Arabidopsis thaliana: one gene and its partners. The protein of the gene in region 1 interacts with the protein of each later gene in a pairwise test. Each region holds a gene or a part of one and is shown on either strand. Other genes may lie near its edges. The genes, in order: bHLH38, NTM1, AT5G61590 and bZIP52.

What was found.
Region 2: the proteins of bHLH38 (region 1) and NTM1 interact in a two-hybrid assay, tested with the Arabidopsis thaliana proteins (one large-scale study listed by BioGRID).
Region 3: the proteins of bHLH38 (region 1) and AT5G61590 interact in a two-hybrid assay, tested with the Arabidopsis thaliana proteins (one large-scale study listed by BioGRID).
Region 4: the proteins of bHLH38 (region 1) and bZIP52 interact in a two-hybrid assay, tested with the Arabidopsis thaliana proteins (one large-scale study listed by BioGRID).

The regions. Positions count from the first base shown.
Region 1 is NC_003074.8:21,082,265-21,089,760, reverse strand, and holds bHLH38 (basic helix-loop-helix (bHLH) DNA-binding superfamily protein), read left to right. Parts: upstream 1-4,515; 5' UTR 4,516-4,666; coding exon 4,667-4,978; intron 4,979-5,107; coding exon 5,108-5,557; 3' UTR 5,558-5,726; downstream 5,727-7,496. Other genes in the region: EDA7 (embryo sac development arrest 7), read left to right, coding at 1-131, 239-331, 425-610, 711-916, 1,007-1,403; bHLH39 (basic helix-loop-helix (bHLH) DNA-binding superfamily protein), read left to right, coding at 2,267-2,593, 2,700-3,149; PIP5K4 (phosphatidyl inositol monophosphate 5 kinase 4), read right to left, coding at 5,876-6,164, 6,249-6,321, 6,408-6,538, 6,617-6,810, 6,899-7,015, 7,096-7,261, 7,347-7,496.
Region 2 is NC_003075.7:667,260-675,642, reverse strand, and holds NTM1 (NAC with transmembrane motif1), read left to right. Parts: upstream 1-2,853; 5' UTR 2,854-3,013; coding exon 3,014-3,170; intron 3,171-3,274; coding exon 3,275-3,546; intron 3,547-3,898; coding exon 3,899-4,024; intron 4,025-4,105; coding exon 4,106-4,609; coding exon of another isoform or gene 4,610-4,691; coding exon 4,692-4,841; coding exon of another isoform or gene 4,842-4,898; exon of another isoform or gene 4,899-4,947; coding exon 4,948-5,160; downstream 5,161-8,383. Other genes in the region: NAC069 (NAC domain containing protein 69), read left to right, coding at 430-570, 645-1,016, 1,097-1,282, 1,370-1,618; AT4G01535 (uncharacterized protein), read right to left, coding at 5,813-6,053, 6,132-6,304. UniProt on the Arabidopsis thaliana protein: Transcription activator activated by proteolytic cleavage through regulated intramembrane proteolysis (RIP) mediated by calpain or its functional homolog. Regulates cytokinin signaling during cell division.
Region 3 is NC_003076.8:24,761,236-24,768,751, reverse strand, and holds AT5G61590 (Integrase-type DNA-binding superfamily protein), read left to right. Parts: upstream 1-3,240; 5' UTR 3,241-3,493; coding exon 3,494-4,099; 3' UTR 4,100-4,496; downstream 4,497-7,516. Other genes in the region: AT5G61605 (EMBRYO SURROUNDING FACTOR-like protein), read left to right, coding at 1-136; ERF104 (ethylene response factor 104), read left to right, coding at 1,384-2,109; PFK4 (phosphofructokinase 4), read right to left, coding at 4,925-5,092, 5,195-5,349, 5,436-5,484, 5,575-5,799, 5,886-5,926, 6,001-6,130, 6,218-6,286, 6,366-6,419 and 5 more.
Region 4 is NC_003070.9:2,101,579-2,109,345, forward strand, and holds bZIP52 (basic leucine-zipper 52), read left to right. Parts: upstream 1-3,469; 5' UTR 3,470-3,654; coding exon 3,655-4,115; intron 4,116-4,195; coding exon 4,196-4,328; coding exon of another isoform or gene 4,329-4,430; intron 4,431-4,439; coding exon 4,440-4,524; intron 4,525-4,605; coding exon 4,606-4,940; 3' UTR 4,941-5,171; downstream 5,172-7,767. Other genes in the region: AT1G06840 (Leucine-rich repeat protein kinase family protein), read right to left, coding at 83-157, 275-346, 500-571, 688-831, 906-977, 1,075-1,146, 1,230-1,380, 1,519-1,630; Plsp2A (Peptidase S24/S26A/S26B/S26C family protein), read left to right, coding at 7,254-7,767.

The DNA of each region.
Region 1 (7,496 bases):
CTATTTATGATAATTACAAATTTTTGGCAATGGAAGATCTGGAGAAGTTGCAGCTAACTCATTTGATTGGAACAGATCTTTTGAAAGCATCTATGCATGGATATTTTATTAATTACCATTTGTACAAAAAGGTGAGTCCTTAACATTTTCATAATACTTATACCATCAGAAAAGTCTTTTTTTTTTTTCGGGTCAAATTGGAATAGTCTCTATAATGTTTCTTCCTTTCTTTTTACAGGCTTTAGCAGTGATTGAACCTTTTGCATTTGATGATTACTTAGAACGTAGGAAGCAAGAGAAGTTAGAAGAGCAGCGTACGCAGAGAATCACAGTTAGTATTTAAAACCTTAGCAGCTATACGTTCACCATTTGTTTGTTTACCGGCTACTTACATACACATCTGTTTCTCTTGTGCTTCCTTCAGAAAAAGAGACGGTTGCCAAAGGTTAACCGAGACCTTGCAGCAAGGCTTCATGGGGACGAATCAGAGGAGGAAAATAAAACTGCCGAGGATGGGGAGGCCACCAAGAAAGTGCTGAAAAAGAAGAAACCCATACTTACTGACGAGCATTTCGTAGATGGTCGGTTTGGTTCGATGTTCCAAAATCCGGTATTAACATATTCTTTTCAACTTTTTTTGTTTGATCTTTTTATTGCTCTATTTCACATCGTATCAAACGTATTCTTGGGAATCTCCTTTTGGTTTTCAGGACTTCCAAATTGATAAGGACTCATATGAATATGGTGTCCTACACCCTGTTGCTTCTTCGAAGAAGCAACCTTCTCTGTTAGATGAACACTTTGAAGCTGTATCAGATGATGACGAGAACAGTGATTCTGATGCATCACAGCCTTCAGATGACGAGGCCGACGATGGAGACGCAACTAGGCCAAGCAAGAAAGCGAGAACTCCGAAGTTAGTGTCTTTTGACTGCATTCCAGGATCTACATTTGACACATTCTATCTTGATTCTTTTGTTTTCTGATGTGGATGATTTGGTGTCAGGTTGTATGAAGTGAAAGATGAGCGGCATGCCGCAGCTTATCACAACCGCACTTCACTGGCTAAAGAAGATAGTCTTCCTATGGGCGAGCGTGTCAAGGCTATAGAGAACCGGCGTGGCAACTTTGGAGGCTCGAAAGATATCAAATTCGGTCCTGGAGGATCACGGGAGTTTTCTTTCAAGGCGAGAGGGTCATCAAAGTACAAAGAAGATAGAGACGATGAGTATGAAGATGGGCAAAGAAACAAGAGGAGAGGAGTTCAGTCTCTTGGACTGAAATCAACAAATATTAGAGGCGGTTTCAGAGGTAGAGGAGGTGGTGGTTTTAGAGGGAGAGGAGGCGGCGGTTCCCGGGGAAAAGGTGGCCGTGGTGGTGGGCGTGGAAGAGGCCGGCAATGATAAATGTAGCTTTTCAGGGGCTTTATTAGATTTGAAAAATGTGTCACCTACTATTGAGAATCTTGAAACTTAATTGATCACATATACAATTTTGGAATATTTTTGACCTGGTCTTCAATCAGCACAACAGAATTTGCTTACTTGAGGCTAAAGGTAATTGATTGGAAAGAGGATGACCTAAAGTTGACCCTAGTTCGATAATGATTTATCAATCCGCATGATAAATCACCGACCGAGGGTTGTTAATAGCTAAATTAACAAAGCTAACATTGATTTAATAAAGTAATTAAAGAAGATGCTTCTGGTTTTTTTTTTTGGGAGGTCAACAAATAAATAAAATGCTTATGTATATGCTTACAACATGAGAATTGCTTATGTATATGCTTACAACATCCAAGTGTTTGGGACTAGGAAGACGCCTGAATCTGATTTACACGCGTCTTCCACAATTTCTTCAGGCTGAGTCATCTTTCAATATGTAAACTCTAATACTTAATACATGTAATATTCTTCTTTAATTTTTTATATAGCCAGTCTACTTGTGACTAGACCTTGTTCACCCGTGGGACATAGGCTTTGGCATGTGTCGACCTACGTCCTCAGATCCAAACATTCTTCTTTATAGTACAAGTCGTATAACACTTATAATATAGTTTGCGAATTTTTAAAGTTTTGGTTGTATAATAGTATAGTTTGTTAATTTATACTTAACCATAGAGATTGATATATTGAATTGTATATATCCGCATTATATATACGTTGGACAATAATATTCTACCTAAGTTCAGAACAATCCTAACCAAAGCAGCTTCCAAGCATCTAGAGAAAACAGAATCTACAATACTTGTCCTTAGTAAGCAAAAATGTGTGCATTAGTACCTCCATTGTTTCCAAACTTTGGGTGGCCATCAACGGGAGAGTACGACAGCTACTACCTCGCCGGAGATATCCTCAACAACGGCGGGTTTCTTGATTTTCCGGTACCGGAGGAGACTTATGGAGCTGTTACAGCGGTGACTCAACATCAGAATAGCTTTGGTGTTTCTGTTTCGTCGGAGGGAAATGAAATAGACAACAATCCGGTGGTCGTCAAGAAGCTTAATCACAATGCTAGTGAGCGTGACCGTCGCAGGAAAATTAACTCTTTGTTCTCATCTCTCCGTTCATGTCTTCCTGCCTCTGGCCAATCGGTAAGAAGCTACTCCGACTCATTGATTAGACCCGTTATAGTTTATGCATCTATACAATTTAGAAGAAGAATACTGCGTTAAACCTTTTTTCTTTCCTTTCTTGCAGAAGAAGCTAAGCATTCCTGCGACGGTTTCTCGAAGCTTGAAGTACATACCAGAGCTGCAAGAGCAAGTGAAGAAGCTAATAAAAAAGAAGGAAGAGCTCTTGGTGCAAATTTCAGGTCAAAGAAACACTGAATGTTACGTTAAGCAGCCACCAAAGGCCGTCGCGAATTATATCTCGACCGTTTCTGCGACTAGGCTTGGTGACAACGAAGTGATGGTCCAAATCTCATCGTCCAAGATTCATAACTTTTCGATATCTAATGTTTTAAGTGGGTTAGAAGAAGATAGGTTTGTTCTTGTGGACATGTCATCTTCAAGGTCTCAAGGAGAAAGGCTTTTCTACACTTTGCATTTACAAGTGGAGAAGATTGAAAATTACAAGCTGAATTGCGAAGAGTTAAGTCAGAGGATGTTGTACTTGTATGAGGAATGTGGAAACTCATATATATGAGAATTTGGTCTTGTTTCTTTATAGTTATGTTATGTCGTCCTTTTTCTCTTCGAAATCTAACATTCTTGACAAAGCGTTGTAGTCGAGTTGTTTCGTTTTTTTGGTCGAAGTCAATGATCGATTAGTTATGCTATTAAGTATAAACTGATTATTATGAAGTTCATGTTACAGCTATAAACTTTAATTTTCGCCTAGACTTTGAATGTTACTAATAAAAAATTTGTTTATGTATATCTTGTTATTTATATCCAGTTAAGACTAGAGTTAGTGATGTTTTGGTGTATCAATAGAATATAAAAACGAGAAAAGACAAAAGAGGGTATTTTATTAACAACTACTATATATCACTACTTGTGGGCAACATTATAGTAAAGAGTCTATGGGCTCCAATTTAGAAGATAAGTTATGTAATTAAGCCAAGTTGCACTTATGAATTAATAGATTGTGGTGACATTAAAGAGTTAATTAAGATTTATTAGGATAAATGATAAATGAGAAGCCATGTGGTTATCCATTGATCCTTTTTTTGTCAAAGGGTTATCCATTGATCTTGGAGTTATTATATACTAGAGGCAGTTTTTTTAATCAGAGTGGCATCACAGAAAAAAGTTTGGAGTATTGGTTTTGAAAGAGTTAAATCTTTGGATTTTTAGTTTATGTTTGTTTAAAAAAAGAAGAAGAAATGTATTGGTTTACTTGGCTTGGTTATAAAATATATGAGATCGAATAAGGATATGAATTTACATGATGATAACTGTAGCTTTCGGAGATTATCATATTAGCTTAGAAAATGTGAGTCACGAAACGAATGTTGGAAACTTCATTGATTCACAATCACATATACAATTTTGGAATATTTTTGATCCATTCGTGAAAGAATAACTAAATCAGAAAATATATTACTTTAGACACAAATGGGATCAAGTTGACATTAGAATATAAAATGACCATCGTCATTGTGGAATTAAAATAACCAGGTTACATTTATTTTAGATAAAGATATTAAATTTTGAAATGCTTATGTATATGCTTACAACATGAAAATGCTAGTTTATGCTTACAACATAAAAAATGTATGGGACGAGGAAGTAAAGACGCCCAAAGCATCTTCCACCTGATTACCACGAGCTCTCAACATTCTCACTCGCATGAGTCATCTTTCAATGTGTAAACAATAATCTTACTATCGTGTCATATACATGTTTGATTCTTACACAATATGCTGAGCTTGTGACTAAACCTAGTTCATGCGTGGAACATAGGCTTCGACACGTGCCAACCTATGCCCTATAGAGACCTAAATATTTCTCTTTATAGTATGTAAGTCGTATAACACAATCATATAATCTCAACGAATAAAAACACTTATTATATAGTTTGTTGAACAATATTTAACAACAGAGATTTGTTTCTTTAGTCTTTCATCCGCATATATAATCAGGAGACTATAATATTCCTACCAAAACAACTTCAAGAAAAAAACAGAATCAATAACCTTGTCCTTGATTAAGCAAAAAATGTGTGCATTAGTCCCTTCATTTTTCACAAACTTCGGTTGGCCGTCAACGAATCAATACGAAAGCTATTACGGTGCCGGAGATAACCTAAATAACGGCACATTTCTTGAATTGACGGTACCACAGACTTATGAAGTGACTCATCATCAGAATAGCTTGGGAGTATCTGTTTCGTCAGAAGGAAATGAGATAGACAACAATCCGGTTGTGGTCAAGAAGCTTAATCACAATGCTAGTGAACGTGACCGACGCAAGAAGATCAACACTTTGTTCTCATCTCTCCGTTCATGTCTTCCAGCTTCTGATCAATCGGTAAGATCGCTAGTAGCTACTCTGATATGTCATCTACATCTGTTTCTAATAAGCTCGTCTATACAGCTATACAATTCTAAAGAAGAACACCGAGTTAACCCTTATTTCTTTTTCTTTACTTTCTTGCAGAAGAAGCTAAGTATTCCTGAAACGGTTTCAAAGAGCTTAAAGTACATACCAGAGCTGCAACAGCAAGTGAAGAGGCTAATACAAAAGAAGGAAGAAATTTTGGTACGAGTATCGGGTCAAAGAGACTTTGAGCTTTACGATAAGCAGCAACCAAAGGCGGTCGCGAGTTATCTCTCAACGGTTTCTGCCACTAGGCTTGGTGACAACGAAGTGATGGTCCAAGTCTCATCGTCCAAGATTCATAACTTTTCGATATCAAATGTGTTGGGTGGGATAGAAGAAGATGGGTTTGTTCTTGTGGATGTTTCATCATCAAGATCTCAAGGAGAGAGGCTCTTCTACACTTTGCATCTTCAAGTGGAGAATATGGATGATTACAAGATTAATTGCGAAGAATTAAGTGAAAGGATGTTGTACTTGTACGAGAAATGTGAAAACTCGTTTAACTAGGTGACTAATTCATATAATGGTGTGTTTATCCACTAGTTCTCATTTCTTTTTAGCTGTGTCCTTTTCTCATATGAATCTAACACTGATCTGGACCAAATCATTTGTGTACTGAGTCAATATTGATTGAACAAAACAATATAAACAGAGAAAAAAAAAACATTCACTGCTACAGATGTCAACTGTTGTTACATAGTTTATTAGAAAATCAGAACATTTAAAAACTTAAAAGAAAAAGGTAGTAGTGTATATATATACCTAAGCCCTTTTTTCTTGAGCCACAAGAAAAGCTGTGAAAGCCAGAAACAGAAGAGACTTGTTTCAATTATCCTCAGTGAAGACCTTGAAGATGAAATCACGGAAACGTCTCGAGTACAGCCTCGGATCGACGGCTGAGATTGAAGTAGGATCGTACTGGATGCTCTTGTAAGCGTGTTCTAGTTTCTTGCTGATATCATAGTCTTGAAGAATGTCTATGATTCCAAAGATCATGACAACCTCATAGTACTCTCCTGTCGGTTCGCCAACTAGCTGGAACTCACAGTCGCTTCTCCTCATTGTCCTCTCTGCTCGAGCCGGCATGTTGCCTCCAAGTCTGATACTAGCCCACCTGCAACAGCCAACAGATTTATTCTTAAAACCGAAATCGAGAAAGTTGCTTTCTAGGATTGAGTTTAATTTGTTTTGTGTTTACCTTGTAGGATCAGAGAGAAGCTGATCCACGTCTGCTCTAGAGAGACGAGGGGCTGATTCGTCTTCAAATTCACCTGCAGTTGCGAGAAAGAAACATATACATTTGCTTCACGGGTTTCAAAGGAGAGATATGATATTTGGTTTTGTTAGGAAAGCGAACCAATAGGTGTGCGAGCTCCAGAAGGAATCAGCTCTCCAGCGACTGATGCCTCTCTGAAATGAATCCCAACCAGAAGACTGTAATCCATTATTCTCTCCTGTTCTAGAAACTCGCAGTCTTTGTCGACTTGCCTGAACAAAAACACAATCAGCATAATAAATAACAATGAAAAATGTCAATGGAAAGAGAATGATTGATGAATCTCCAACCTGATGAATTCTTGGTACCAAGCTTTCTGTAGTCTAAAAATGAAATTCAGATCAAGATCTTTCAAAATTGTATTTGAATTGATTTCCGATTCAGGTTTATCGGTTGTACGGCCAAGAGAAGATCCTTTCAAATCAAAGCGTCTGTGGATGGAGTACTCAGAACAAAATAGGTTTCCCATAATGACAAACCGCACCTGCAATTTGCAATAAAGGAGATGATATATTCAATCAAAATCCAAGTCTCAGTTTTTTTGTCTGTTTAGCATTGTTCTTAATTCTTACCTTCTTTTGGATTGGTCCAGTTAACTTCACACAGTGGAGACCGTAGAATCTAATGACCAAAGTGTTCTCAAATGCTCGAACATGGTTGTAATATGCTGCAAGCATCCTCAGAAGCACCTGCATTATATAATTCCAGAATAAAGTTAATAGCAGCTACATATTTTTCATCTTGTCATTTTAAAATAAAACAAACTCACTTTAGTTTCAGACTTCTTCATTGTCTTTATCATGTAACGATCATCATTTGTCAAGTAGAAAAAGCTTCCACTCTTACCAGGGGATGATAGCTCCCGAAGGGCATCATTCCCGCAGATCGATAACATGTAATCAGCTGGGTCTACCTTGAATAGCTTCCTCAAGCTCCTAAAGATAGATAAAATTAGCATAACAGTGTGTGAGAATACGTACAGATGGGAAATAAGTAAAGCCTAATGTTATTTGATCTCACCTAAAAACTAATGGGCAATAGTCTTTCCATTTGAATTCACTAGATTGATGAGGAGGTGTGTATTTGGTTCCTTCTGGTGGAAATCTTGTCCATACCTTCTCCTTTGGATCAAAAGCCGAATGCTTAAGATCAAGAGACACAACCGGAGCT
Region 2 (8,383 bases), on another chromosome or scaffold:
TTCTTGAATTGGATTTGGGTTTGATTCATCTGTCCCTGTGTTGGTTGCTATCTTTATCCCAATTTGAGGTTAAAGTCATGTTCTTGTAAGAATAGATTTGGGTTTGACTTATCTTTTCCCTATGATGCTTAGTACATCAAGTTTAGGTTCTGTGTATCAGAGTTTGAAGTGTTATATATAGAAGTTGTGGCCTAGAAGGCTAGTGTATTTGCTTCCCTGTGTTGAATATATTACTGTAATCTCCCCTGTGTTGGTTGCTATCATTAGTACGTTCTGTGTTGTCACAGAGTTTTAAGCGCTATGTATAGAAGTTGTAACCTAGTGTTCTTACTTCTGCCAAAGCTTGTGATTGTTTGAGTTATGTGTGTTTGATTTTTTGTTTTGTTGGCAAAGAACTTATGTGTGTGTGTACTTTTGGAATTTGTTCAGAGGAACTATGTTATCTGCCAAGTGATGTATAAGGGTGAAGATGGAGACGTCCCATCTGGTGGTAACAACTCGAGTGAGCCGAGTCAATCTTTGGTCTCTGATTCGAATACTGTCAGAGCTACGAGTCCCACAGCGCTTGAGGTGACTCCAGTTTCTTTATTTGATAATCTCATGTACTTGATTCGTTTACTCAAAACTCTCTTTTACATTTTCAGTTTGAGAAGCCAGGTCAAGAAAATTTCTTTGGTATGTCTGTGGATGATTTGGGGACTCCAAAGAATGAACAAGAAGATTTCTCTTTGTGGGATGTACTGGATCCAGACATGTTATTCAGTGACAATAACAATCCTACTGTGCATCCACAAGCTCCTCACTTAACCCCGAATGATGATGAGTTTCTCGGTGGATTGAGGCATGTTAACCGAGAGCAGGTTGAATATTTGTTTGCCAATGAAGATTTCATATCCAGACCAACCTTATCTATGACCGAGAACCGCAACGATCACAGGCCAAAGAAGGCTTTGTCAGGGATTATTGTTGATTATAGCAGTGATAGTAATAGTGATGCTGAATCGATATCTGCAACGGTAAAGCAAATCACCCGTTTTCTTTATCGTTACTTCTGTGCTGTAATCTCCATTCTCACATTTTGATTATATTATGTCAGAGTTACCAAGGAACATCAAGTCCAGGTGATGATAGTGTTGGTAGTTCGAATAGACAATTTCTCCAGACTGGTGGAGATGAGATTCTATCGTCTTGCAATGATCTACAAACCTATGGAGAACCTTCCATCAGTAGTAGCACCCGGCAATCTCAACTCACACGAAGCATCATACGACCAAAACAAGAGGTTTTGCGTTGCTCTTATGTTGATTCTATATGATTTCAACATATGTTGGATATATAAAGATAATGATTATGTAACTTTCCTTCACAGGTGAAACAAGATACATCAAGAGCGGTTGATAGTGATACATCCATAGACAAGGAGTCATCTATGGTGAAGACAGAGAAGAAGAGCTGGTTTATTACAGAGGAAGCAATGGAGAGAAACCGCAACAATCCACGGTATATCTATCTCATGAGAATGATCATAGGCTTCATTCTCTTGCTGGCTCTCATTAGCAACATCATATCGGTGTTACAAAACTTGAACCCGGCGATGAAGTTTGATCGCGAGAGATAGACAAAAGCTAGCAGATTGATCAAAGCACTCGTTTTTACTTTGCTTTTATTTATTTCTATTTTCTTCCGAAATTTTGATGTATATATGTGTGTGTATGTATGACCAAGAGGTATGTCTTGTACCTAAAGTTAAATAAAATTTAGGGTTTGAAAATTTTATAACATTTAGAGCGGGTCCATAGTTCAGTGCCGTGGTGGAGCATTAGACTGCTGATAAAGAAAACATTCGACAGAGACCAGTGAATGGTTTGAAAGGTTTCTCAAAGATTTGGTTTGTTGATAATTAAGAGAATGATTACATACCGGACAAGGGACTGGTCTAATGTGATTGATACTTCGATGATCAATCAATCAAATATTACTTCGATGATCAATCAATCAATCAATCATATTACTTACAACTATGTAATATGATTCTATGAACCTTTTTCTTGTTTTTTGTAAACTTTAATCCCTTATCTTGCAAGCCAAATCCATAGACATATATTTTACAAAATTAGTAGTAGTACTATATTGAAGTAGAGAAAGTAATAACGCCATGTCGTCGTCGTCGATGGTGGCGGCTATAATTTCCGAAAGATCCTTCGACTCAAAATACACAAAAAAAACAAGGAAAAGAGAAAGGTTCATACTTTCGTTCGAAGCTCCGACAATGAACCGTCAATAATTTGCCACGTCTTCATTCTCATTCACAATAAAAATAAATTTTGTTCCTCTCATTTGTCAACCTTTTTTGTTTTTGTTTAAAGAATTTGTCAACCTATTGGAAAACATTTTGCATTCAATTAAAATCTTATCGCTAACAGTTTTTTGTTTTTTGTTTTTTTTTCAACTATCTTATTTATTAACAGTAGTAAATTTGTTATAAAATACATAATATTACATTTCTTCCAATACATAATTGATATCTAAATATCCGATCGTTGTAAATTTGGAGTTTCATTCATCTTAAAATGTGTGAAAAATTACGGCTGATGTGTGACAAACACAAAAGATAAAAAGTTACTAAACACAATTTTTTTACAAAATTAAATTGAAACGAAAAAAAAAAATTTAACAAAAAACTAAAAAGAAAAAACATTTTAGAAATAGACACAAGTCATCAACACGGTTTCGGCGCGAGTAGACTTCACGGCTTTTGTTCTTTACTTACTGAGAAATTACTAAAATTTGGTTTTTTTTTTTTTTTCAAATAGAAAAAAACTATAAATACCATCACTCGCTATCTCTTCACCAATCACTTCCTACTTGTATTTGAAAAAGAAAGAAAAACAGAGAGAGAGAGGGAGAAGCCAAAAAAAAAAACAGAGAAGCAGAAAAAAATAAATTCCTTCACCCAAACCCTAGAATTTTTTTTAGAAAGTTTTGTTTTTTCGATCTGTTTCTGTGTGAAAAGATGATGAAAGGTCTGATTGGGTATAGATTTAGTCCGACGGGAGAGGAAGTGATCAACCATTACCTAAAGAACAAACTTCTGGGTAAGTATTGGCTCGTTGATGAAGCTATTAGCGAGATCAACATCTTGAGTCACAAACCCAGCAAGGATTTGCCTAGTAAGTTTATTATGAATGATCTTGATCTGTCTCTCTTTGTATCATCATCGATCATTTCTAAATTTGGGTTCTTTCTGTTGTTGTTGTTGTTGTTGCTGCTGCAGAGTTAGCTAGGATCCAATCGGAAGATCTTGAATGGTATTTCTTCTCTCCGATTGAGTACACGAACCCGAATAAGATGAAAATGAAGAGGACGACAGGTTCTGGGTTTTGGAAACCTACTGGTGTTGATCGGGAAATTAGGGATAAAAGAGGAAATGGTGTTGTGATAGGGATTAAGAAGACGCTTGTGTACCATGAAGGTAAGAGTCCTCATGGAGTTAGAACTCCTTGGGTTATGCACGAGTATCACATCACTTGCTTGCCTCATCATAAGGTATAACAAATCCTTCAGAGCTCTTTTGGTTCTGTATCTTCCATTTGAATTCTGCTCATTTTTGTCTTCTTCTTGATTTGGGGATTTTTGAGCTCTGTGGTTGTGTAAAGATTCTAACTTTGAGTGTTTTTGCTTCTACCAAAGCTTGTGATTGAGTTGTTTGATTGATGTGTGTTCTGTTTTTGTTGTTTGGCTGGCAAAGAACTTGTGTGTGTGAAACCTTTGGAATTTGTTTAGTATACATCTAGTTTGATTTGAGGTTCTGTGTTATTGTTGTTTAAAGAGTCTCAAGAGTGTTTTTGCTTCTACCAAAGCTTGTGATTGATGTGTGTACCTTTTGGAATTTGTTCAGAGGAAATATGTTGTCTGCCAAGTAAAGTATAAGGGTGAAGCTGCAGAAATTTCATATGAGCCAAGTCCCTCTTTGGTATCCGATTCGCATACCGTCATAGCGATTACCGGAGAACCGGAACCTGAGGTGAGTCCAGTTTCTGAGATGTTTCATTATGATTCATTACTATCAACCTGTGTCTTTACTTGTTGTTGTCTCTTTTTACAGCTTCAGGTTGAGCAGCCAGGTAAAGAAAATCTCTTGGGTATGTCTGTAGATGATTTGATAGAACCAATGAACCAACAAGAGGAGCCACAAGGTCCTCACTTAGCTCCGAATGATGATGAGTTTATACGTGGATTGAGGCATGTTGATCGAGGGACGGTTGAATATTTGTTTGCCAATGAAGAAAACATGGATGGTTTGTCTATGAATGACTTGAGAATCCCAATGATCGTCCAACAAGAGGATCTCTCTGAGTGGGAGGGATTTAACGCAGACACCTTTTTCAGCGACAACAACAATAACTATAACCTTAACGTGCATCATCAACTAACGCCTTACGGCGATGGCTATTTGAATGCATTTTCGGGTTATAACGAAGGGAATCCTCCCGATCACGAATTAGTGATGCAAGAGAACCGCAACGATCACATGCCAAGGAAACCTGTGACAGGGACCATTGATTATAGCAGCGATAGTGGCAGTGATGCTGGATCCATATCTACAACGGTAAAGCACATCTCTCATTTTCTTTATCATTACTTCCCTGGAGTATATTCTGTATTCTCAGCTTTCCATTCTAACCTGACAGAGTTACCAAGGAACATCAAGTCCAAATATTAGTGTTGGTAGTTCAAGTAGACACTTGTCAAGTTGCTCAAGCACAGACTCTTGCAAAGATCTACAAACTTGTACAGATCCTTCAATAATCAGTAGAGAGATCCGGGAATTAACACAAGAGGTCTTGAGTTGCTCTTATGTTGATTTTGTTGCTATTTGTTTGTATCTTGTAATCTAAAACATATGTTGGACTTTAAAGATGATGATTATGTGATTTTCCTTTTCAGGTGAAACAAGAAATCCCAAGAGCTGTTGATGCACCCATGAACAATGAGTCATCTTTGGTGAAAACAGAGAAGAAAGGCTTGTTTATTGTAGAGGACGCAATGGAGAGAAACCGCAAGAAACCACGATTTATCTATCTCATGAAGATGATCATAGGCAACATCATATCGGTTTTACTACCCGTCAAAAGATTGATCCCGGTGAAGAAGTTATGATCGCGAGAGAGGCAAAGCAGATCGATCAAAGCACTAGTTTGATATAGGAAAAGGAGGACTAAGAAGAGTATACACATGGACGGTGATGATTAAAAAAATGAATCAACGGCTGAGATGAAGCTATCAGAGATTGTTGGGTTTTAAAGGAAGCTGAAGATCAGAATTGAATTTTATCGTGAAAATTGTGAAAGTTTGTTATCTTCTTCTCCATTCTCTGTTTCTATGAGAATTCTCTATGGATTCTCATGGTTATTTCCTCATTGTAGCTTGAGCTGTTTCTTCTTCTATGCTCTAGCAATTTGAGAAGTGAATCCGTGTTTTATGAACATTGATTCAATCTATCATTCGATTTGTGTTTCATAGAGAATGATAAGCTCTGGAACTTATCTAAGATGAAAAGAACAGAAAGAAATGGAGGGAGAGAAGTATTGCATCTTTAAGGTGGAGAAGAACATAGATAAGAGAGAAATTTAGATTAGATATTGTTGTTGATCGTTTTCGATAACCATTACAGAGACGAAGAAGAGTTTAAGTAGAAGACAATAAGAGGAAATTGGGCTTAACACTAAGCCTAATCAAAGCCCCACTAAGGCCCACTCATCTTCAGTTTTGGTTTCTATCAATACTCCCCTCGTGAAGAGCCAGCTTGTCCTCAAGGTGGAAGAAAGTGGAACTCCGAAGCATTGGTAATGACTTTATACGATCCATCACCCGCTCTCAATGATGTTGGATGTGTGTCCGGTTCAACCGTTCGATTGCGAAGATCTGGGCCTAGCTCAATGAAGCCAATGAAGTTCTCGGTTGAATCGAAATCTGAATGTAAACCATCAAGAGTTGCCAAACCCCACTTATATCTAATTGCATCACATTGTGTTTTGTACTGAAGCTCTGGACTGAAACCTTTGGACGATAACCTGAAAGCATGTTTCAAAAAACAAAAGTAACCATATGTTCTTTAATGGTGAAGAGACGTGACTTCCCTTGCCACCCCTGTTATCTTGTCCTTTACACTTCTAGTGCATAACCACAACTTGCTTCCAAACTCACAATTCCATTTCCCTTGGTCTTCAAGAACAGTAGTATTCTTAAGTAAGTTCAGGCTCTCTATAAGCATCAGTTTCATCCCAAAAGATCCATTTACCATCATATCTTTGAATCCCTGCTGCCTAATATAGCTATTATGATTCTCACAAAGGAGAAATTCAAGCTCAATCCTCCATATCTTCCAACAAACCACCAAGCAGTATAATTGTAACACCCCACTCCCACATAGTTGGGCCAATTTGTTTTGACATTATGATATAGCTCATAAATGGCCCAATCTCTTTTTGATGACAAACAACAAGGGTTTTGTAAGTGTCATATATATTGGGGTATTTAAGTCCTAAACTAAGTCAGCCACCATCATCATTGTTGAGACGTGAGTTCGTGAGCCTTTGTTATCGTTGTCGTAATCTCCGCATTATCAACGTCGAGAGAACCTATTGATGTTCCACCTCTTTGTTCATGTCTTCTTCCAACATCAATGTGTTTTGTTTCTCTATAACCAAACTGCCATGATCTGGAAAGAAAAGAAAGGAGAAGAATAAAAATTGAGAAGATCGTGAAAGAGAAAAAGAGAAGGAAGCGGAGATGAAGGCGGAAACATGACGGAGGATAAATCATCACCACCACGAAGGAGAAACAGTGGGAAAGTGATTCATGTTCTTAACACTAATCAGAAGTATTAAGTGAAGAAGACCGAACCAGATTGAAGCTTGGCGAAGCAAAGAAAGAAGAAGAAGAGAAAAGAGGGAGGAAGAACAGTTTCAAGATGGGGTTTTGTAAGGATCGTTCCAGTGGCATCAGAGAGACTCAAGTAAGGTGTAAGGTGTCTTTGGAAAGATAACGATATCAAGAATCCATAGCCGCTGACAGAATTGGAATCGAGTATATATTCAAGAAGTTATGCACGTTTCTTTCATGACAAGTAACTGCAAAGTCTGTCAAATGCAGGAACCCCTAAATGACAGTTCGAGATGGTTTGTTGATGACAACGTTTGGAGCTTTTAATGAAGTCCGATCATGCTGTAAATTTGTGGAGTTATTCATGATACTTCTATCTACATATTCAACGGTGAGATCACGTTTCTAACGGTTAGTTCCTGAATTTTGAGTATGTTTCCAAGACAGTTTTATTTGAAGTAAATAGTGATGAATTTGTGTTGTTGGTTGGGAAACGAGTTCGATTAGAGCTGAAGTTTTGCAGGAGATTTCATGACTCATGGATTCAGTTCTTAGTCGAGGGAGAACCAAGTTAAAGCTTATGAGCATGTAGTTGTGGTAAAGGTTGAGAAAGGAGAAGTGAATCTTCATCTTCAATTAGGCTAAGGTGAGGGTGGTATTTGCGAAACATGGTATCATTTTCTTTTGTTATGCTTCTTGACGCATGATATGTAGGCTTAGATCTGATTGTATAGGATTAGATTACATGATGATATGACTTTATGGTTGTTGAGTATGATGTTTGATAATGTGATGTTATGTATGATATTATAAGTATATGTATGTTAAATATGATTATGAGTGTATGTATGATGAATGTATGACTGGGGAGAATCGAGCTATGGGCCGTGGTTTCCCTAGTGATGTGGACAATGATGGATCGACGGGTTAACAGCTGGTCAAGAATGGCTGACGAGCCCGGAATGAGAGTGTCTGAGCCACGAGGGCCAGCCTCCACTCATGAGGTTCTAGTCGTCACGATGATGACTGGACCTAACGATACGATATATATGTTTATATTTATATATATAAGATGATTGTTATGAATGTATTATTAGAAGTTAAAGCATGTTAGGTTGATTGATTGTGTTTAAGTTTATATGTTGTGATGATGGTTGTATAGCTTTAGAAAGTGTTTTTATGTTTCTGTGGGTAGAGTTGATTCTCCTCACTTAGTATTCTTTACTCACTTCTTCTTTTTCTATTTTTTCCTCAGGTTAATAAACGTGAGGAGTTATGTGCAATATTTTATTCATGTGTAAAGTTTAAAGAAAACGTTTTGGCAATATTAGATGAATAATATGCCGTCTTGTCCTATAAGGCAGGGCGGGTGTTACAATAATAATCTCATGAGAATGATCATAGGCTTCATTCTCTTGCTGGCTCTCATTAGCAACATCATATCGGTGTTACAAAACTTGAACCCGGCGATGAAGTTTGATCGCGAGAGATAGACAAA
Region 3 (7,516 bases), on another chromosome or scaffold:
GTGTCTGCGTGTCGAATGTGCAAAACACAGAAATCAAAAATGGTGTTTTTGCTGTGCCGGACTACCGAGGACCTGTTTTCTTGATAAACGAGGCTGTACGTCTGTCTGCAAGCGCGAATCTCCTTCAATGGCTTAAGAAACTTGAAGAACCCATATCTACAATTTACTAATTACGTTTAAATTTCTCTTGATATATGAATAAATATAAGTTTATGGAAAGGAAACAATTACGATTATGCTTATCGTAATTTAACATATTTTTTTTTATTTTTTTTTATGTTTATGGTAATTGTGTTACCATTGCAATTTGCATGTCTACGAATTCGTCTTGCATTGGTAATCCAATATTCCATGTGATGCTTTTCTTTCTAACTGAAGGTATTCGTGAAAACGAATTCAAGATTGTGGGAGATAATTAGGGTTTCGTCAAAAGCATGAATTAGGAAAATTTGGGATTGATTTTTTGAATTTGGGAAAAGTCCTAATTTTAATTCGATCAAAGCTTAAATGATGTCGTTTTGGGCTGACTAACGAAGTCGTTAACAGGTGCCAACGAGTGTTAAAAATCTGTTATCGCTTGATAACTCTTTGGTTTTTTAGTCTAATCAACACATTCTCATGTTTCAAACAGTTAATCAACATATTGTTCATGTTAAAAAATTAACACATGTGAAATTGATATATAAAAATATCATATATTTTCAAAAGTTGGATCATTAAATAAAATTTTTCCCTATTTTTGAAATAATTCTAAAACAGTATTAAAGATATTTCCTGAAATTGTTTGCATGTGATCGGTTTTGGACCGAAACTAAAAAACTTAGAAACTATATTAACTTTGAGTTGTCGAGATGAAGATGTGAAATAGAAATATAGGATCAATGGTTAGAATTTTGGCAAATGTATGAAGGTGTGTTTGATTGAATATTCCAAGTCCTTTGCCTTTTGGAATTGGCATAACTACTACAACAAAGTTTTGATAGGTTTTCCGAATTCTTTAAACTCCTTAAATTTTTAATACATCTCAATCAAACTCCACTTATACTAAAAATAATCCATATTGCATTTTTAAAAATTCTAAAAGAAGAATCACATGATAACTTGATAAGCACTTTTAAATGATAGATGTCCACGTAGAGGAATAAGACAAAAAGACAAAATAAAGAAAAAGGACGAAATCTAAAGAGAGAAAATAAGTAACAAGTCCAAGAAAAGGTAGTATGATCTTTCTCGGTCCGATCCTCGAAACTCCCTCGAAGGCTCGAACCCTCTCTTTGTTTTTTTACCACTATATAAGAAAGTCCGATTCCTCGTCACTCTTATTCCCACTTCCACACATACACATATACAACAGAGCAAGAGAGTCAATCAAGTAGAGTGAAGATGGCAACTAAACAAGAAGCTTTAGCCATCGATTTCATAAGCCAACACCTTCTCACAGACTTTGTTTCCATGGAAACTGATCACCCATCTCTTTTTACCAACCAACTTCACAACTTTCACTCAGAAACAGGCCCTAGAACCATCACCAACCAATCCCCTAAACCGAATTCGACTCTTAACCAGCGTAAACCGCCCTTACCGAATCTATCCGTCTCGAGAACGGTTTCAACAAAGACAGAGAAAGAGGAAGAAGAGAGGCACTACAGGGGAGTGAGACGAAGACCGTGGGGAAAATACGCGGCGGAGATTAGGGATCCGAACAAAAAGGGTTGTAGGATCTGGCTTGGGACTTACGACACTGCCGTGGAAGCTGGAAGAGCTTATGACCAAGCGGCGTTTCAATTACGTGGAAGAAAAGCAATCTTGAATTTCCCTCTCGATGTTAGGGTTACGTCAGAAACTTGTTCTGGGGAAGGAGTTATCGGATTAGGGAAACGAAAGCGAGATAAGGGTTCTCCGCCGGAAGAGGAGAAGGCGGCTAGGGTTAAAGTGGAGGAAGAAGAGAGTAATACGTCGGAGACGACGGAGGCTGAGGTTGAGCCGGTGGTACCATTGACGCCGTCAAGTTGGATGGGGTTTTGGGATGTGGGAGCAGGAGATGGTATTTTCAGTATTCCTCCGTTATCTCCGACGTCTCCCAACTTTTCCGTTATCTCCGTCACTTAAAACTTCGGAAAAGTCAACGTACGATGACGTTTTCACTTGCGTCACTCTCATGATTTCATTTATTCTTGTATAATATAAAGGTAGCGGTAGTGTGCAAATATCAAATAAGTAGTTTAATTAGTACCAATCATTTTATTCATTATTTTTTTTAGTAGAATATTTGGATGTTGAAAATATAAATTTAATTTTGTATTTGTTGATGTTATAAATTTATTGATTGTATAAACATTCTTAGTCATCAGTTTCGTTAAGTCCATATCTAAACACTTCATATCTGCTAAATAGTCAATAGATTATAAAATTGGATCAGGAAAAAGTAAATCGGAGCTATAAAAAAATAGTGTGCAACGAAAAGACAATTAATTAGTTAAAAATACATACAAATCTAAACAAATTCAAAATTTCAATAGTGGAAAACACCAATCAAATGGATAATGCTGTCGAAGATTATCTACAAAGCATCAATAAAAGTAAATAATTAATATTATCTTACATGCTATTATAAAAGATTATGAGATTAGGAGTATAATTGTCAAGCAACTGAGCAAGAGGGTAAGGTTTGGTTATTATATATGTGGAGCCCTATACGAAGTTATGTAGAAACAAAGAAATATCAAGTTGCTTCAAATCATATCCTAGCAAGACAACCCTACAAGACAAGCAATTTGATGAATTTGTCTCTCCTTTTTATTCGAGTGAAAGTCATTATCTTCTTATCTTTTTACTCGAATGTGAATATGCAAAATATCTTTTGATATTTAAGAGCTTACCTAGTGAGTCATTACTACTACGAAAATCATATATCAATCTTATCATAAAACTTTTAAGATAAAAAAAAAAAAGAAAAAACTTTTGAGAGATTGGCTTTTAAAGACTTAAGTTACGATTATAAACACTAGTAGTTCAAGTCTTTTTGGTTTTGGTTTGTGTTATGTTTTAGATTTAAAATTTCAAATGAACCTACGTCCTTAACCAACTCAATCAAAATTCTAGTTAAAAAAAATAATCACCATTTTGTTAGCATTCAGCTTAGGATTCGAACCATGGGTAGCTCAAGGTATTTTAAACTCTAGAGGAATAAAATGGATGTTAGTGAAATTTGTCAGCATCATAGACAAGATCAAGTTGGCACAACTTGAAGGGTCCTGACAAAATATCTTAAGTTGCCTCCATAAATGTTTAATGGATAAGACTTGGCCCCACAGAGTTAAACCAGAGAGACACAGAGAGAGACTTTTGACACCTCACCCATGGCTGCGTTAACACATGTTTAGGATTCCTTTCTTTATATAGCCAACAATATCATCAAAACTTTTTCTTCAAACACCACTTGCAGTTTTTCTTATTCTCCTGTCTTGTCTAAAGAAAAAAGAGAGAGGAAGAAATGGAGACTTTTGAGGAAAGCTCTGATTTGGATGTTATACAGAAACATCTATTTGAAGACTTGATGATCCCTGATGGTTTCATTGAAGATTTTGTCTTTGATGATACTGCTTTTGTCTCCGGACTCTGGTCTCTAGAACCCTTTAACCCAGTTCCGAAACTGGAACCTAGTTCACCTGTTCTTGATCCAGATTCCTATGTCCAAGAGATTCTGCAAATGGAAGCAGAATCATCATCATCATCATCAACAACAACGTCACCTGAGGTTGAGACTGTCTCAAACCGGAAAAAAACAAAGAGGTTTGAAGAAACGAGACATTACAGAGGCGTGAGAAGGAGGCCATGGGGGAAATTTGCAGCAGAGATTCGAGATCCGGCAAAGAAAGGATCCAGGATTTGGTTAGGCACTTTTGAGAGTGATATTGATGCTGCAAGGGCTTACGACTATGCAGCTTTTAAGCTCAGGGGAAGAAAAGCTGTTCTCAACTTTCCTTTGGATGCCGGAAAGTATGATGCTCCGGTCAATTCATGCCGAAAAAGGAGGAGAACCGATGTACCACAGCCTCAAGGAACAACAACAAGTACTTCATCATCGTCATCAAACTAATGGGGGAATAGTGATGTTTAATTAGTATATATAGGTTAATATCTTAAGTATGTGAAGCATCATGTATAGAGCCAAGAACCTGTTAGACTAGTGTACTGAAAAGAACTCTTGCAAAATATGTACTAAAGAGTTCCTGTAACAATGGAACTTCTGCGTTTTCTCTTGTCTTAAAGAGCTTAAGGTTCTAGAAACAAAGTTCTTGTCCTTTCGGTTTATTCAGAGTACACTATTTGGGAAGACAAGAGGACCTAAATCTATCGACTACATTTATTTATTAATCTACTGTGATACTTAAAATCGAATTTCTACCTGAAAGACCTTAACATAAGCCTTAAAGTTTCTCCAATGACACAAACAGTACCGTACAGTGGCTTCAGTATTCACTATTCGATATCACTGAGGTATTAATTAGTTCACATGTCCAGAAAGCGTGAATCAGTGAATTGAGTAGAAAGATGAACAAGTTGCAAGAGGGACCAAGTTTAAAGAATATAGCAGCCAGAGTTTTGTCTCATGGTTGGGTACAAGTCAGCATTCATTTTTTAAATATGACAAAGAATTGGATGGACCACACGCAACAGCTCAAGAGGGGAGAGATGCACAAGTTGCAATATGGAAAAGTAAACAGAGGAAGATATGTATTAACATCTCAACCTCATCGTTGAGATGGATGTTGATTATTATTATTAGGAATAACTAAAACCAAAGAATTCTTATAAGTTATAACAATGAAATTACTTCATGGTTTTTTGATAAAGATATCTCCTATGCATATATATCTAGTATACATTTGGAACAGTTGATGAATATCAACTGACCTGTTTCTTAGATAGAAGAGATCTTCATGTTATCGATCTTTTCTTGAGTTTCCATGTCGATCACATTCTGCAATGCTCCTTCACCAGTCAAGAAACTCGGTTGATTTGTCGATGCAAGGAGTCTAGCCCACATCCTATCAGTTAACTTCACCGTATTTGTCACTTCCGTCACCTGCTGCAGAAGTAAAAAATCATGGGATTAACTTTAACCACAAAGGTTTAGGACTCAATGATTTTAGTCTAAGAATGATTAGAGAAGTAAAAGAGAAAAGCTTACAGAAATTGGGATGTAAGCATGTCTACTGTTAACTGGTCCTACAGTGAAACCTGAGTACCCAGCCATTGCTCCATGAACTGCACTTTGGGCAAGAAGAGTGCAATAGACATTGTCTGATGCGTTACTCGGTATTGCTCTTATCATATACGTTGGGTCTGTTCAACAAGTACATGTCAATGAAATGCACAGAAGAGTGTTAACTGTTGTTAACAAGATAGAGACAGTGAGTCTGAAGATATACCTATGTACTTCATATTTATCATCATTTTCCGAACATTTGTAAAGTGATCCTGCAACATAGTGGTCACAAGATTCATCTTGAATGTTTGAGGGAAAACATATAGAAACCATTTTCTTAACTTTCGAGTTTCGACCAATACCTTTATCTGTTGAGTCAACCATAGACCAACATCAAGCAAGAGTCTATTTCCTGAGGCGTCTTTAGTTTCAGATGCACGCATGCTTTGAGCAACATAATCCTGTCCAGCTCCTTCAGCTATCACAATAACCATGTGCCTATTCTCTTTGAGTCGTTCTTCAATAAACTCAAAGAGCCCACCCTTTCCTTCAAGAAAAAATGGAGACTCTGGAATCAAGCAACAATCCTGTCACATTTCAAAGCTCCCATTGTTATACACCACAAATAAAGAAAGTTTATAGTGACAATTTAACAATCAAACTAATCTATTACCACATCACGATTCGCTAAAGTTGCAATCATGGCAATAAAACCTGCAGAATTTGTACCACAAGTTAACTTCGTATTCACAAAAGAAAGTAATCAACATATGTCACAGAATATTTACCACTGTATCTGCCCATGAGTTTAACGATACCAACTCCATTTTCCACGCTCTCGACCTCTACATGTGCAGCATTAATAGCTCGTTGTGCTTCCTCAACCGCCGTATCAAAGCCAAATGATTTGTCAATCACCTAGAACAATGGATGAAGAAGATGTATAAGAAACTCCACATGAGAGAAAAGTAGACCTTAAGTTGAAAATTATCAATGGGTATTTACAGCAATATCATTATCAATTGTCTTAGGAATGCCAGAAACCGCCACTTGAAGACCACGCCTCTCAACTTCCTTCACAAAATATGAAGCAAGTATCAGTAGAATTACTAATGCTACATTCAGCATTCAGTAATATGTGATATGAAATAACCTCGTATATCTTCTCTGCACCCTTTTGCGTCCCACCACCTCCAATAATATATACCTGACATACACATTGACAAAATATTAGGATGGCTCAGCTTCAATACAAACTAAACTACATAAAAATTATGGACAAAATGGAAATCAGTTATGTTAGCTACCTGATTTATTCCTCTATCTTGAATATTATCAACAATCTTCGCTGTATCATGTCCTCCTCTTGAGGTTTGAAGAAAAGTGCCACCGCGTTTATGAATATCGTTAACTACTTTAGGTGTCAGGTTCATAGTGTTTTTGGAGTAAAAGCCTCTATATCCTCCCTGAATGCCGAGAATGTTATTAACACCATACATATTGTTCAATCCACATACAATTTCCCGTATAACAGTATTGATTCCAGGGCACAAGCCCCCACAAGTCACTATGCAAGCTTTTACTTCATCTGATCTGAAGTACACCTGTATAACCAAAAACTTAACAGGTTTCAGTTGCGAAAAATCTCACAAAAGTTTAACACTTTAAAGAAGAAATCATACTCTTTCTCGAGGCCCTGCTCGCCTAAAGTGTACTCCTCGCTTACTTCCCTTCTGGACTACAATCTAAAAATGAGGGAGCTTTGAGAGCAAGTAAACACCCGCAAATCGAAAAAAAAAAGCTTAGAAAAAAACACATCAAGCTTACATTTTGCGCAACCACATCTTCGGAACTGACAAAAGTTCGCCTACAGAAACCATATGAACAATACATTACAACCCTCAAAGGTATTTATGAGTTTAGTGACTTTGCCATGTAGAAATTTGAACTTACTTAACAATGGCATATGCTTGGCTTTCTTTCAATGGATTTGGATATGACTGTGATGTCAGAAACAAAATCATCAATTAGGGAAGTAACATCAACCCAACAGAAAAGTTAATACTTTTAGATGGAAAAACTCATAACTTGACAAAGATATTAACACATGACAGAAACAGCGAAGAATCGAATACCGGTAAATCAGGGAGAAATTTGGTCAAGTGAGGAACGTCTTCTAGGACAAACCCATCGTCTTCCTCTGGTTTGAATCCATCAGAGCACTGAGCTCTGATGAGTCGTTTCTGGTGCAAGATTCGAGGCAGCACTGAAACTTTCTTCAATTTCAAAGCAGGAAGAGGGAAA
Region 4 (7,767 bases), on another chromosome or scaffold:
GTTGAATGCATTAATAGAAGATGACAGCCCTTCCAGCCTCACACATCAGTGATTTCAGATACATAATGAAACTATCACTTACATCTTCAAAAGTTTAGACATGTTTCCATAAGATTGTGGAATCGTAGTCCCGTCAAAGTGATTGTTATCTAATTGTCTGCCAAAATAAACATGAGGAAAAAGGTCAAAAAAAAGAAAAGAAGAAACACATGGGTAACCAGTCCTTATGGTGACAGGACCAGGGAAATCAACAGAAACTGTGACATAAACTTACAGGATAAGTAAACGCGGCATGTTTGATAACTCAGGGGGAAGATAGCCTGATAAATTGTTGTTATCAAGAAGGCTGTAAGAAAAAAGAAAAAAAAAAGTAAATGTTCATAAACATTGAATAGGTAAAGCGTGTGTAGCATGTTCTAGACATGAAAACTGAGTTTAGGTAAAAAACATAGCATTTTTCAAGTAAAATCATTTAAGCCTGCTACTGCTACCAACTCACATGTGAACAATGGATGGTAGGCTTCCAAGCTCTGGTGGTATCTGCCCGCTAATAGAATTATTGTTCATGTGACTGGAAAAAGATAAGATTGACCAAAAAAAAGCAATAAATGTAACATATTCAAGGGGAGAAGGAATCACCATATTGAAACAGCCAAGTACAACTCGACACCAGATTAAAGAACTCACAAGTGCTTCGTTTTGTTTAAGTTTGCAAAAGATTTGGGAAGTGGTCCTGATATACGGTTTTCATCAATCTGTATTCTGTCCAAGTTTGGAAGAAACCCTAGCTCCTCTGGTAAGTTTCCATTTAACAGATTTCCATTCAGGAGCCTGGAAAAGTGAAGTTAGCAGCCAATCCCAAAGCAAATAAAGCAGGGAAGTAAACAACAAAGTCCTGGACTAACAAGAGTTCTAAGGACTTGATATTCCCAATTTCCTTTGGTATACTTCCGGTGATCTTATTCCACATGAAACTCCTGGCATTAGAGAAGAAGTTGTACAATACAAAAAGAAAGTTATTCACCATTGAGTATGACAAAAGATCAAGCAACATATCGTGTTAAAAACACGTACAGGATAGTAAGACGAGACAACCGGCCAAGCTCCGGAGACAAGTTCCCTGAGAGATTCATACTGAACAATTGCCTACAAGTATAAACAAAGCTAACTCAAACAAATCTCAAGGAAGACCAAATAAAAGAAAAAAGCAAGAGTGAAGAAGACAATACAATTCGCTGACATGAAGATAACCATCATCAAGAGTGGAGTTGAAGCAGACAACACCAGTCCAATTCGAATTGCACGGGTCTCCATGCTTCCAATTTCTCAATCTATGAACAGGATCGTTCAAACTTTCTTTGATCACTCGCAAAGCCCTCACTAAAACCAAAAAAAACATCAATGATCAGTACCAAATCAGTCGAAAGCTAAGAAAACCCATTGTCACAGACACAAATTGTCTGAAGATCTAACACCAAAGACAAAGCCTTTTAACAACAACAACAACAAAAAAGAAACCTTCAACGGGATTGGTGATGTCGTCTTGAGCAAAAGTAGAAGAAAAGCAACAGAAGAGGAAGAAGAAGAGCAGAGGTATGAGGAGACGAGAGACATGATGGGTCGAAAACATATCGAGAGAGGAGGAAACAGAGGAGACCCAAGGAAAAAACGAAATCTCGAGAGAGAGAGAGTTTAGAAGGAAAAGGCCATGACCAAGTAAGAAACACAAGACAAAGAAAGAGGAAAGTAGTTGGTATTGGGTGGGAGCATTGAAGAGTGATAATACGACATTTTCTAAGTTTGACTATTTCAGGTAATGGATGAGACCGACGGAAGAGCGTCATCATAAGTTTCCGTTGCGCCGCCGCCATAACTTCACCACCTTCTTCCGTCAAAACCATTCTACTTGCTATTTTTCTTCCTTTGTTTAATGATTCCTTGTCTGACCTGTCTTTGACCTTTTTGTCGTTTTTTTAATCCTTTTTTAATGACAGTAGGTAAATCTCTTGCCAGGTGCGATGAATTTCCAAATATTGTCAATAAAGTTACCTTTTTATCCCACCTTGATTTTTTTTTTATGTATTAATTAAAATTTAAAAACGTATACCATTAGCAAATAGTAGCAATCATTGGTATATTGGAATCATATAGTATATGGCAATTTGGTCATCGATATCGTATCTTTATGTGCATTTTGGCCCCCACGATACTAAAAGTCACGAAATTTTCCAAAGTATCGACTTTTATTGGAAAATGGTGCTGATTATCAACTGATTTGTAGAAGTGTGATTAATTACCTGTAGTCATTATGATTTTCTTGAACAAAAAAAGAAGAAACAGAAGATGTATGTCACTATGTCGTATCATTACGAGAGGGAAAAAAAAGAAACAGCTGGAATAAATTACTCAAATAAGAAAAGAAATACAATGGGCACTATTAAAAAGCATAGACATGAGCTATATATTATTTATGTTTAGAGAAGAACTTTCCAACAGAATTTGGTTTTAAAAAATACCCGTTAGGTGACAATAAATGGGAGAAACTATATCTTAAGTATGTTCATTATTTATATATAAAAAAAGGGAGAATCACAATTCACAAGTATGTTGATAAATAATAATAAAACAAAAAAAAAAAAGACAAAAGAAACTTTAGCTGGTAAAAGTAAGCATCATTAGGTTTTTAATTTGAATCACTATTAAATGATGCCGGTCCACTACTTGCGTTTAAGACAATTTAGAGAGACTTAACTAAAAAACTTATTACTTAAAGCGATCAATACGACCATCTTTTTAATTATTTTGACCGGTAAACAAAGTGATGCCCAATTGCCAATTTAAGAGAAGGCCCAAAACATCCTCCTGTCCACTACAGGCGCATTATATGCTCGAGGATTTCTTAAAACAAAACAATACTTGTCTTCTTGTATGGGCCTGATAATTAAGGCCTCCGTATGATTTAGATCCAACCAATAAGTATTTTTCACTATAAGTGAATTTTACTTGTTTCCCAATCCATAGATAGTTCCATACCAAGTTACCAACTTATTATCCCACAAAACATTCTCTCAGACTCTCAGTTCATACAAGGCTTTCTGCCTATTTTTTACTTGTTAAAATTTTGACTCAAAGATACAAAAATATACACTCAGACGTGGGGAGATGTAATGCCATAACAGCTTAAATTAATAAATTTCGTTGAAGCAACTACAGAATCTTGTAATGAATGCTACAAAGAAGATTTAAAGTTAAACAAATTTAAATCATGAAATCGAATAATTAAATAAAATACAAAGAAAAAGGAAAAAAAAATAAAAAAAAAAGGGAGGGAGACAAGATGCTGCGATGGTTCACGTGCCAATGTGCCTTTTACTTTTCATCAACTAGTTTTCTTTTTAATTATTAATAAATCAACTCAATTTCGCAATTTTATAGTTAGTGACGTCACTTCTCTCTCCTCACAGAGTCGAGTTTCTCTCCTACGCTCTTCATTTCATTTCATTTGATAGAGAGAGAGAGAGAGAGAGAGAGAGAGAAAGAGCTTCGTCTTCTTCATCTCCATCATTATCTCCATTGACATTGTTCTCAATTGCGAATAATAATCATAATTATTCACACAACCAAAGCATTCATCTCTCAGATTCTCTTAAAAAAATGGAGAAATCAGATCCTCCACCAGTCCCAAAGCCCGGCGCCACTATTATCCCCTCCTCCGATCCAATTCCTAATGCCGATCCGATTCCATCTTCTTCCTTCCACCGCCGATCTCGCTCCGACGATATGTCCATGTTCATGTTCATGGATCCCCTCTCCTCCGCCGCACCACCTTCCTCCGACGACCTTCCCTCCGACGACGATCTCTTCTCTTCTTTCATCGATGTCGATAGCCTCACCTCTAATCCCAATCCCTTTCAAAATCCTTCCCTCTCCTCCAACTCCGTTTCCGGCGCTGCTAATCCTCCTCCTCCTCCTTCCTCTCGTCCTCGCCACCGTCACAGCAATTCCGTTGACGCTGGATGCGCCATGTATGCCGGTGATATCATGGACGCTAAGAAAGCTATGCCTCCTGAAAAACTCTCTGAGCTTTGGAACATCGATCCCAAACGCGCCAAAAGGTCCTTCTTCTTCTTCTTCAAATTTGTTTCTCTTTCCACAGAATTGAAGAATTGCAATGAAATTAGGGATTTGATTACAGGATTCTAGCGAATCGACAATCTGCAGCTCGATCCAAAGAGAGAAAAGCTCGATACATTCAAGAACTTGAGCGCAAAGTTCAATCTCTTCAAACCGAAGCTACCACTCTCTCTGCTCAGCTTACTCTCTACCAGGTTTCCATATTCGGCGATTCCTCGTTTGATCCCAACAGAATAGGAAAGTTCTTTCCTCTGTTTTACATACATAGACAGATCTTGATTTCAATGTTGTTTTGATTGATCCAGAGAGACACAAATGGACTAGCAAACGAAAACACAGAGCTGAAACTTAGGTTGCAAGCAATGGAACAACAAGCTCAGCTTCGTAATGGTAAGCACAAAAAAAAAAGAAGCTAATTTCTTTGTATGCATTTTGGTGCATTTCTTCAATATTTGCTTTTTGATGTTACAGCTTTAAACGAAGCGTTGAGGAAAGAAGTTGAAAGGATGAAGATGGAGACAGGAGAAATCTCTGGTAATTCAGATTCGTTTGATATGGGAATGCAGCAGATTCAGTATTCTTCCTCAACTTTCATGGCTATTCCACCATATCATGGCTCAATGAACCTCCATGATATGCAGATGCATTCTAGTTTCAATCCTATGGAGATGTCCAATTCTCAAAGCGTGTCGGACTTTCTACAGAACGGCCGAATGCAAGGGCTGGAGATTAGTAGCAATAGCTCAAGCTTAGTCAAATCTGAAGGACCTTCTCTCTCTGCTAGTGAGAGTAGCTCTGCCTATTGACGACAAGATTATGATGAGGCTCATTTTTCTGTTAATAGGTTTTTTTTTTTTTCAATTCATTTGATTCACTTTTGATTATTTATTCTTTCTTTTTTTTGAGGTGCCATTGTGCAAGAAAGGACGTACGTATACATTTGTGTTGGTTATGTGTCGTGAGTTTCGTTGTTTGCTATTCCCATTGTTTGTTCTTCAAGGAACAAAGGAGACTAATAAATTTCATTTTTCTTTTGTATACAATGATGTTTGCTACGTTTTGTTTTATTTTACTAGGAGATGGAGATGTTTAATAAGTTCATTCCAATTGGGTTAATAGTTTGATTTTGGGATCAATGATTTTGATACGACAACACCAAGGCAGTTCCTCAGTAGCTTCTTCTCCAAGACACCCTCACATCCGTCATCCCATTAGAGTTTTGAGACAACTTCTCCCAACCGGACTTCTCCATGAGACAAAATTTCCCAAACTTGGAGTCGGAGTTGAAATGAGAGACGAAGCATTGAGAGATTAGTTTTTGAGACTCTGTAAGACTGTTAACGAAAATATTCGACCTTTGAAAGACATCTAACACGATTCAACCTTTAAGCAAAGACCCATTGTTGGAGAGAACCAACAAAAGTTCCAACCTTTCCAAACTGAGCTAGCAAGAACAATAGAACATGCATAACAATAAGAACGTGGAGAGTTTAGAACATTGTTACCATGTTATCAGACGAAACATCTACTCTCTGGACTGTGGACGTCCTTGGAGAAGCTCGGTCTATTTCGCAAAATAACTTCCAAAAAAAAAAGGAGAGAGCTCAGAATGGGGCAATATCAACTGATATTCAGTAGAATGCATTGGACCCAACCAATGCTAAAGCCAATTTCTTCACAGCTCATGCACCAGCCGGGAATCGAACCCGGGTCTGTACCGTGGCAGGGTACTATTCTACCACTAGACCACTGGTGCTTTGATGACAATTGTTTTGTTTTAATATCTGATATACAATAAAACCACATTTAAACCAATAGGCCCTATTTGATGGCGATACGTAATTTTATTTTTTGGGCTTTTTCATCTTTTGCCAGTGGGAATTTGTGAATTGTGAGTGTTTGTTTCTAACTTTCTATGAAATCGAAATTTGAGAAAATTGTGAGAAATTCAAGAGAATACATGTAAACTAGGGTTCAACAAGTAAATTGCCCCCACAAAACTATGCCAAAAAATGAAAAAACAAAACAAAACATGCCGATAGACAAATTCTAATCCGTATGAAGCCTCGATGTATCTTGAGCACAATATAAATATTTGATTAAATAGAAGCATTTGGGAAGACAACGAGAGATTAGTGTTTGGCTAAAAGAAAAAAAAACGAAACAGAATCCATTTTGTTAATTAGGTTGTGGTCAAACTCAACCCAACTAAGTTAACGACTAATTATTTAAAGATAATACTGATTAATTAAGAAATATCAACGAAGCTTCGGGCGAACCTTAAGAGAGAGATGACGTATGTGCTGCGGTCATTCACTTTCTTTATAGTTTTCCACATACACACTCCTGCGCCCGGTCCCAGAGCCTTTACCTTGTTACGTCTCTAGTTCATAACTACATGTCTACCATGTATTATAGGGATATCAAAATGGTCTATACATGATTCATTATTTCATATATCTAGGTTATATATTATTTTCTTATAGTTGATTTATAAACACCAAAATATCTTTAGCAAATGTTAATATGTGACAACTGACAAGAAACATAGGTTGTGCTAATGTCTTTACTTTAAAATTCAAATCGGCTTAAAAAATTATGTTCTTACGAGCAAAAGATTGAAAAAAAAACGATGAAATTTATCGTGTGCTTTTATTAATTGTACATCTAAAAATGTATTAAACAATTTTGCTCAGTACAACAAAATTCACAATTGTAATTTTGTGAAATACCCACTCCACCATCTTTTTATCAGATAATTCTAATTTATTTTTGTCAATGTTATAGCCATTTTTGATACTTGCGTATTTAATTATGGGATATTATGAATAGAAATTGTATATTTAAAGGCCCATTTTTGGCCCTAAATGTAATTGATGACTCAACTCAACCAACAACAAGAAGAAGAAGACTCTCTCTGCTTTCGACCAAAACCTTCTCCTCTCCTCTGGGAGATCTCCATCTTCTTCGCTTCTTCGCTTCCCCGCCTGAAACAATTACTCGATCTCGCCGGCGGAACAAGCTCTCCGTTTCTCTTTCCGGCAGATCGATTCTTCCAATTCCTTATTCCTTTCTAGGTCTTCCTTAAGAAACCCTTACTTTCTTCAAAATCTGCATTTATGGCGATTAGGGTTACCTTCACCTACTCCAGCTATGTTGCTAGGAGCATTGCTTCATCCGCCGGGACTCGTGTCGGTACCGGCGACGTTAGATCATGCTTCGAAACATGGGTTCGTCCCAGGTTCTGCGGCCACAATCAGATACCAGATATTGTTGATAAATCTCCCGGATCCAACACATGGGGTCCAAGCTCAGGCCCTCGTGCTCGACCAGCTTCATCAATGTATAGCACCATTGCGAGGGAAATCCTCGAAGAAGGCTGCAAGAGTCCACTTGTCTTGGGTATGATCTCTCTCATGAATTTGACTGGAGCTCCACAGTTTTCGGGTATGACCGGTCTCGGGATCTCTCCCTTTAAGACTTCTTCTGTCATCCCGTTCCTTAGGGGTTCCAAGTGGATGCCTTGTAGTATTCCGGCGACGTTATCAACGGATATTGCTGAGGTTGATAGAGGAGGAAAGGTCTGTGATCCTAAAGTGAAGTTGGAGTTGAGTGATAAAGTCTCGAATGGTG